Nothobranchius furzeri: one gene and its partner. The protein of the gene in region 2 purifies or fractionates together with the protein of the main gene of each other region. This does not show direct contact. Links are inferred from orthologs where the notes say so. Each region holds a gene or a part of one and is shown on either strand. Other genes may lie near its edges. The genes, in order: bin3 and dnmbp.

The links.
Region 1: the proteins of dnmbp (region 2) and bin3 purify together in Homo sapiens (co-immunoprecipitation; 5 studies listed by BioGRID and IntAct, counting the BioPlex papers as one, with this or other methods). This does not show direct contact. The link is inferred for Nothobranchius furzeri from reciprocal best matches to the Homo sapiens genes DNMBP and BIN3.

What each region holds. Positions count from the first base shown.
Region 1 is NC_091757.1:40,408,327-40,412,135, reverse strand, and holds part of bin3 (bridging integrator 3), read left to right. Parts: intron 1-2,350; coding exon 2,351-2,492; intron 2,493-3,485; coding exon 3,486-3,620; intron 3,621-3,809. UniProt on the Homo sapiens protein: Involved in cytokinesis and septation where it has a role in the localization of F-actin.
Region 2 is NC_091756.1:38,441,126-38,445,604, forward strand, and holds the start of dnmbp (dynamin-binding protein), read right to left. Parts: upstream 2,801-4,479; 5' UTR 2,595-2,800; intron 1-2,594. UniProt on the Homo sapiens protein: Plays a critical role as a guanine nucleotide exchange factor (GEF) for CDC42 in several intracellular processes associated with the actin and microtubule cytoskeleton.

The DNA of each region.
Region 1 (3,809 bases), on a different chromosome or scaffold from region 2:
GAGAGCGGATCGTGGATCGGCTAGTAGAAGCTAACCATTAGCAGTAACAACTCCACAACACGGCAGAACAAATTCAGTCTTGTGGAGATAAAACATCAGCGTTGCATTTTTGTAATCAATAAAGCGCGAACAGAGGCAGTGGAAGAGTTGCTCTGCTGTTAGCCAATCAGAGATCAGATGTTTGTGTGTCATGGATAATAATGAGTGTTTCCCGCCTCCTACTACTCCGACTAACTTCTGCTTCCGGAAACAGGAGCGCGAGAGCTTTTTCCCCACACAGAGATTGACTCACAGGGCATTCATTTATCCAAGAGACCACACTGAAAACCCGAGTGAATGAGAGCTTTACCAGGTGATGCAACTTTTAGTTTTTATCTCAAACGAAAAGGCAGCAATGCACTCGTAAACACATTCTCCTATTTTTAGAGCTCTCGTGCATTCTTTACAGTAGTGAGTTATGTGATAGTGAGAGTCGAGAGGGGACGGCCAGCCTCAGCCAAGCCCAAGTCTGGACCAGACTTGGGCTTGGCTGACAGCTCAGACTGGCCCGTCTGTGGATTGGCAACTTCTCATAAAAAACACATGGATTCATACGCTATTTCCATCCAGCCACTTCACCGCACCCTGACCTGTCACATGGACAGCAGTGTGCCCTCAGCCCGCATTCAGCGTCTAACCAGGAAACCCTCACACAAAACCAAACCTGACCAGTAGTTCAGCCAGGATCAGGAAGTCTAGGGAAAAGTCCCAGGTCGGGGTGGTTTTAGAGCGAACTGTCCCAGGAATGTTGCATGCTTTCACACATGACTCCGGAAACAGCCGAGTCTCTGAGATGGAGAAACGAGAATGGAATGGGTTAATTAATAGACTACTGTTTCCTGCTTCATCTCAACTGTGATGGTTGGGATGTAAAGTCTTTGTGTTTAAATAAAGTTACTACCACCAGCGGTCTTGCCTAATTATCAGGTGTAAACATGCATTGGGGCTTGTCGTGAGAAAGAAAGCAGCAGGTGAACGACACCAGTGATTTATCTATGATCCATTGTGTCGTGTAAAAGCTGGTTTGCCGCTGCATTGTCAGCACAGAACAAATATGTTGGAGAGCGGTCATGCCTAGAGGGTAGTTACATAATCCCTTGGCACTTAGAAGTATGCGTACACTGGAGCAGATAGTAGACTTGAGGATCGGCATCCACCCCTGCCGTAAACTGGGCCAAAGTGGGATTTTATAAATAGCGGTAAAGCGTGGGCCGTGGGGCTGGGCCCTGTTGAGCTATGTGATGTCACTTATACACTACAAGACCACTCCTTGCTCAACTTCCTGCTGGAAATGATCCCTGTTTGTCTGAAAGCAAGCCTCAGCTCTCCCCCTTGCCCCATCAGCCTGCTGTAGGTGTTCTTTTCAGACAGAGTTGTTGTTTAGGATTTCACAACCAGTTCACGAGTTCTTAGTGGTTCCTGCAACTGCTGCACACACACAGCAGGGCAAGAGATGGCGTGGAGAGGAACGTAAACTATGTAGCCCACACATTTTGTGGCTAATAACGCTATGGGTAGAGAAAAAGAAGGCTATTCTAGTAGCGAGCCTACGCAGCTGATAAAACGCTTTAAATGACTCATTGAAAAACGGTTGATCTAATTCCTCATTACGACTGTTTTTACTCCTGACTCATATGTAGTAGGCACCTGTGTGAATAATTCTGGAGTCTGCCTTTGAAAACACTTTTACTGGTTTCTGTTTTGGTTTTAAAAAAAAAGAACCAAAGATGGATTTTGCCCGAGTTTTGGTGATGCTGGCGGCCATTTCACCCAAAGAAGTTTCACATCCAGACTCTTGATGAAATAGCACGACTGTTTTAATGGCTCCTTTACTCTTTTTACTAGACATGTCTGTTTTTCATAAAATCATATTAGATGTGATATGTATATATTTGCATACAGTATTCCTGCTCCCCGTCAACCATAAACCCAGCGCAACAAGTCCCAGGATGAAGCTCCGACTCCTGTTGCTAAGTTACAGATGAATGCTTTCCTATTTTTAGTGCAGAAGACCAGGATTCTTGTTGCAAGAATATATTTTCATTTGGAATATGATAATTGTCACAAAGTGAATTGTTTCATGCCACTCTGAACTATAGTAATTAGATAATAGATGAGAGGAAGCTTAATGCAGAGCTGTCCTCTGAGAGCACCTCTACAGTAAGATGTTGAGAGCAATTTCATTAAATCATGATGACGTTTATGGAGATGTGATGGAATGCAGAATCTGAATATTTCACAAAGTTTCTTTTATTTTCCTGCTGGCGAAGTCTGCCGTCGCTTGACGTTTCTGTTTGCTGGCTCGTTTCAGGTACAGCGGCGTCTTCCCGAGCCTGAACATGGCGGTGAAGCGTCGGGAGCAGGCGCTGCAGGACTACAAACGCTTACAGTCCAAAGTGGAGAAATACGAAGAGAAAGAAAAAAACGGACCCGCCATGGTTAAGCTCCATCAGGTGCTGCTAGAATCCTGACTGTGACTCGAGGGGAGCGGGGTTCACCTGCTCGTACGTGTGCCGTGAACAGAGCGAGATGAGCGGGGAAAAGACACAAATGCTGACTGGATGTGAATAAAGTCGTTGAGCACATGCACACAGTACATGTGCACTCCTTCACCCACGCAAGCTAGCAGGCTCTCGAGTAGTGCCGTTTCAAAAAGGCACTGCTGCACATCTACAGGCACATAATTGAGAATTGTAGACACACACACACACACACCACGAGGCCACTACCGAAGTACACACATTCACAGATAGTGTTGCACGGTTGCCTATGCTATTGCCTTTAACACATCCTCACACGGTGAGCCTCCCACACACACTGAGAAAAGCACTGTCAGGGGAACAAAGCCTTGAAGAGGCCCTACATGCCTGCCCTTTGAGTCCATGTGCACTTAAAGAAATGATCCTTATACAACGTTTCTTTTACTGTTTTAACTTCCATCTGGGAGGAAAATAGACGGAGAGGTGAGGAGGGGAGTAAATAAACAGTATGTTACGGTTTCCTTATAGCAGCTCCCCTCCTTCCCCTTAATAAAAATTCTCACCCTTTCACAATAATTGTTTGTGCCTTCCATACCTCCATGCCTACAGCAGACTACCCACTAATACATTCACACGGAGATCCGTGGTGCTGGAGTCCACTCACAGCCAAGTCTGCCCACATCACCCACTCCTCCTCACTCTGGTCGTGATTACAGCCTTTTTTTGCGCTGCATCTCTGTGGGAATAAGGCAAATGTCTTTCATAACAATAAGAAAAAGATCAGTAAAGATGCATCAAGGAATGATTGTAGCTTTGACTAACCGTTATCACTCGGTAGGTATTTTGAACCTGTGTAGAAAAATGTGTCGTGTGATTTAAACGACACACATCGGTGTTCTCGGCTCTAAATTTAGAACCGTCAGGCGCTGACCTCTGCTTTTTTTTTTCTTTTCTTCCACGCTCCAGGCTAAAGAAGAGCTCCGACCGGTCAAGGAGGATTTTGAGGCCAAGAACCAGCAGCTGCTGGACGAGATGCCCAAATTCTACCAGAGCCGCATCGACTACTTCCAGCCCAGCTTTGAGGCTCTCATCCGTGCACAGGTTGGTGCTCCTCTGCAGGAGATCGGAGGCTGTCGGAGCTGCAGACACACCCTTCCAGCTGTGTGTGTTTATCTCAGCCCGTCTGTCTCCCGCCCTGTGGTCCTAACGTGATTAACCCCACGGTGACGACCCACACTGTTGTGAGGAAGGCCTCGCCTGTCTGGCTCCACTGCCGTCCTGCAGGCTTTC
Region 2 (4,479 bases):
TTTTCTTTGCTAAATTAAAATAAAATGCATTGAACTGCATCACTACTGGACTAAACAGTTGTTTCCCTTGACCCTACCACTGTCCTAATAGGTGTGACCCCGCAAGGAAAGTTGACCATTGAGCAGGGTTGATGGTTTATCCCTTGGGTCCATGTGGTAGGGTTGAGGAGTGAGCACCACCTCACCCCTGCCATGTGGACCTCAAGGGATAAACCATCAACCCTGCTCAATGGTCAACTTTCCTCACGGGGTCACACCCATTAGGACAGTGGGAGGGTTAAATTAGTTTACTTAGCTGTTTTAACATGTTGTTAATTGGTTGATGCATACATGTAAATTAACCAAATTGAGTTTGTTCAATTTTTGTACACACAAACAGCAAATACACAGAATTAAGTATTTTCTAACACACAGGCAACGCACAAAAGTATTGCAAAGCAAATGCAAAAGGGCTAGTCAGAGGGCTATGTGACATGAATACGTAGACGCTCCATTGGGTGCTGGAGAGCTTAACCACAGACATATACGTAGACGCCCTGTAGACTGGCACTGCCTGTTGAAGCTGTCGTAGTGTCATCTTGGATGAGTCTCTATTTGCCCCCAGTGCATTTATTTCTACGGAGGAAGGTGCTGCTTACCCAACTAAAGAAACACATTTTATAATGCTTTTTCACAAAATCAGATATATAGTATGGCATAATTAAAACAGAAATCTAATAAATGAAAATAAATTAATTAAAACATAAAATCCTAGCAGGTAGGCTAGAAAAGTCTAAAGTAATCCAATCCAACGTGATCTGTTTTCCATAGTGCAAGGTTACGCTCTCCATTGCCCCAAAGGGACGTCTATGTATTCATGTCTATGAGCGTAACATCGTCACCGCCATGTTGGATGGATTCCTCACTCTCCAAACCTGGAGGCAAAGTTGAGTGAGCAACTCTGCCTGGTTTTTGTGCAGCCTAAAGCTGCAACAGGCGCACTATTGAAAACAGATCACGTGGGACTTCTATTGACTTTTCAAACCTACCTGTTGGGATCTTTTTTTTTTTTATTATTTTATTTTATTTAATAATATTTATATTTTAACTACCATGCTATAGCTGATTGTGTAAATAAGCATAAATAAAATTTGTTATTTTTAGTTGGATAAACTTTCCTGGCGCCATCTGTCCCTCTGACCACCCTCATCAGGCAAGGCGGGTTAACTGTCTTGCCCAAGGACACAACAGCAGCATTCTCTGATCAGAGCCAGGATCAAATCTGCAACCTTCTGATTACTGGACAACCTGCTCTCCCTCTTGAGCTGCTGTCCCCATCCAACATGGCAGCCCGTTGCTATGCCAGTTCCAATAGGCAGCGCCAGTCCATGGGGTGTCTATGTACATGGGAGCCATGACAGTTTCCATCTCAAAACCTGTTTCAGTATCAACATAAAGTAATTACCTAGAAATGAATTATGATATAAAACCATAAACATAGCAGGAATGACATTTTCAGCTGAATGTTGTAAAACTGACAGCAGTTAAATGGCTTATTAAAGAAACTGCTATAAGATGTTATAGATTAAAATGATTTAAAGCCTAAAATCAGATCCAGTCTCCAAAACTTAAGGACAGTTCATGCAACGCTGTTTGAAGAACCTTAAAACTGCCACCATGCGTACGTCTAATTACAAGACAAGATATCACCAGTAGAGGTTAAATGTAGCACTCCACATGCATCCAGTGGTCATATCAAGCAGGAATATCTTAGCATTTCTGAAGAAGTTGTGCTGTAATGGAAAACTGATGTTAAATCAGCTTTGGATGTGGGTGTAATTACACAAGACATACATTCAGGTTATCAGTAGGGTTCAAATGGATTCAATTCAAAAAGAGATTGCTGCCCAGTCTGATGTAAACACCATTTATCCAGAGACTGGTCAGGAGGTCATCTGCACTTGAAGTTTATCCCATAAATAATGTTAATGTAAGACTGGAATAATGCCCCCAAGTGTTTGTAGTGGACAAGAATAATCCCTGTGTCCATTGGAGGACACAAATCTATTTACACCACCTCATTATGTGGAGCTGCAATGTCATCAGTTTACTCTCAGAAGCACAAAAAACATCCTAAAACTGAGATTTTAATTAAGGCAGGTTGGTTGGAGGTTGTGTGTGTGTGTGTGTGTGTGTGTGTGTGTGTGTGTGTGTGTGTGTGTGTGTGTGTGTGTGTGTGTGTGTGTGTGTGTGTCTACATGGTGGAACAACTGACAGCAGAAGCCACAGCTGACACACAGCAGGGAGGATTACTCGGTCTGCAGCACTCTAACCCATTCACCTCAGTAATGTATTCACACTGAGGACCCTGAAGAATAAATAACGTCTAAAGTAGAAAACAACTGCCTGCAACAGCGTTGAGATCATAAATCAGCCCAACAGAAAGCAAAGCGCAACGTGACCGCACGCAGGTCCTCCAGACAGAAGCTGGGAATATTTGTGTTGTAAACTGGTTATATTCACGCAGATGAGCATTTTACATCAAATTATGGGATTTTTATTAAGCAAGAATGGTGAAAAAGTCAAAGGATTTGGTTTTCTTGCGTTTTTCTTACCTGTAAAGTATGTTGAAAATCTGAGTTCGTCAGACTAGATATCCAACTTCTTCAACCTGGTGAAGTGTTGGTGGCGTTTCCTTTTTCAGCGACACAACTTTTAGGTAGCTACGCGTCCCGAGGGTTCCCAGATGCCCTGCGGGATCTTAAAGGCGGCATGTTGACGCTAGGAAGTGCCACGACTGTCCCGGGTGCATGGAGGTCTCTGTACGCTCAGCTGTCATCACGGTAGACATGGGAGAAGCCGCGCTGGGCTGTTCTGCGTCTCTTCGTGCCTTCATAGAACAACGCCTCCCACTTTTCCCACTGGGGGGTGTCCCTGCAGATGCCTGACTTAAATCACATGAAAACTGATTCCAAACGAACCAAATTTATGAAAAAAGGAAAAAGCGCGTGTGTTTGTATTGTTATGTTCCTGAATAAAACAGGAATTATTTTTGTTTCTAAATTAAAGTAAAGGTTTCAGTGGGACTGTCACTGATAACTCTTTTGGGGGTCTGTCAAAAATTGTCTTCAGATGTTTTCGTTCTCCTTTCACTCATTTTTTACGACACTTGTACACGACTGACGAAATTGGAAAAGATGACAGATAGCAGATGGACCATATCTGGAGGTCATAGTAAAAAGGTAAGAATCTATTAAATATCTTAAACAAGGCCTGTTAAAGGCAGCTTGTCAAGTTTTAAGCAATTAAATTAAATTATCAGATCAATTATTGTTTTTCAAATTGTTACTTTTGGTGTTTAGATTCACATCAAGAAATTTAATTGAATCGTGTCTGTGTAACTGGATGTTAGTGACAGTGAGGTTAAAAAGCAAAAACCCATTAAGACCTATTTGTGTCTGAACGGTTCATAGGTCAGATTTTTGGAGCTTAACAAACAAAAATGAACATGTCTGAAAACAGACAGAAATTTCATTGAAAAGCCACCAATGTTCAAAGAAAACTTTTAAAGGTTTTCAAAATAAAACCTGCAAATTATTTTCTCAAAAACAATAAACTAGCACATGATTTGTTGAGATTTTTGTACATTTCTTTAGTTACACATAATTGTCAAAGTCTTCGGTATATATGTAGAGAGAGAGAGAGAGAGAGAGAGAGAGAGAGAGAGAGAGAGAGAGAGAGAGAGAGAGAGAGAGAGAGAGAGAGAGAGAGAGAGAGAGAGAGAGAGAGAGATGAGATGAGATGAGATGAGATGAGATGAGATGAGATGAGATGGATGGATGGATGGATGATGATAGATAGATAGATAGATAGATAGATAGATAGATAGATAGATAGATAGATAGATAGATAGATAGATAGATAGATAGATAGATAGTTTATCATCATTACACTGAAAATGAACTTGTGTTTTAATACCATACTATACTGTTAATAATAAAATTGTATTCCTAATAATTCACAATGAATGTTTACTAATTTCTTACACATATTTTAATTTTAGGTGTTTTAAACTTCTGTTATCAATATTCTTATTTTTCAAGAAGGAAATTACTTAAGGATTGTGGAAACTGTAGCAGAATTAAACCAAAGGGAACCTGAAAATATTCTTTGTTAGCTCATTTTTTTGGGACTGCCCGCTCCAGCCACACCAGACGATGTTCCCAGGAGTTACAAGAAGTAACATCATCTATGTTTGGAACATGTGACGGTAATGTTTTTCTTTTATTTAGTGTCATGGTGAGTAATTAAAGCCTGTAGATTTAGCGGATATTTGAGCGTTTTCTGCTAAAACAAGTTTCAGCAGCACAGACGTAAAAATAGCTGGTTTCCCCTGATACTGTTTTATGGCTTCACCCTTAAGCGCTGTCGTTTAGAATCACAGAGACAGTAAAATCAGCTTTTAGAAGACCTTAATTACAGCTTCTATATGACGAATTA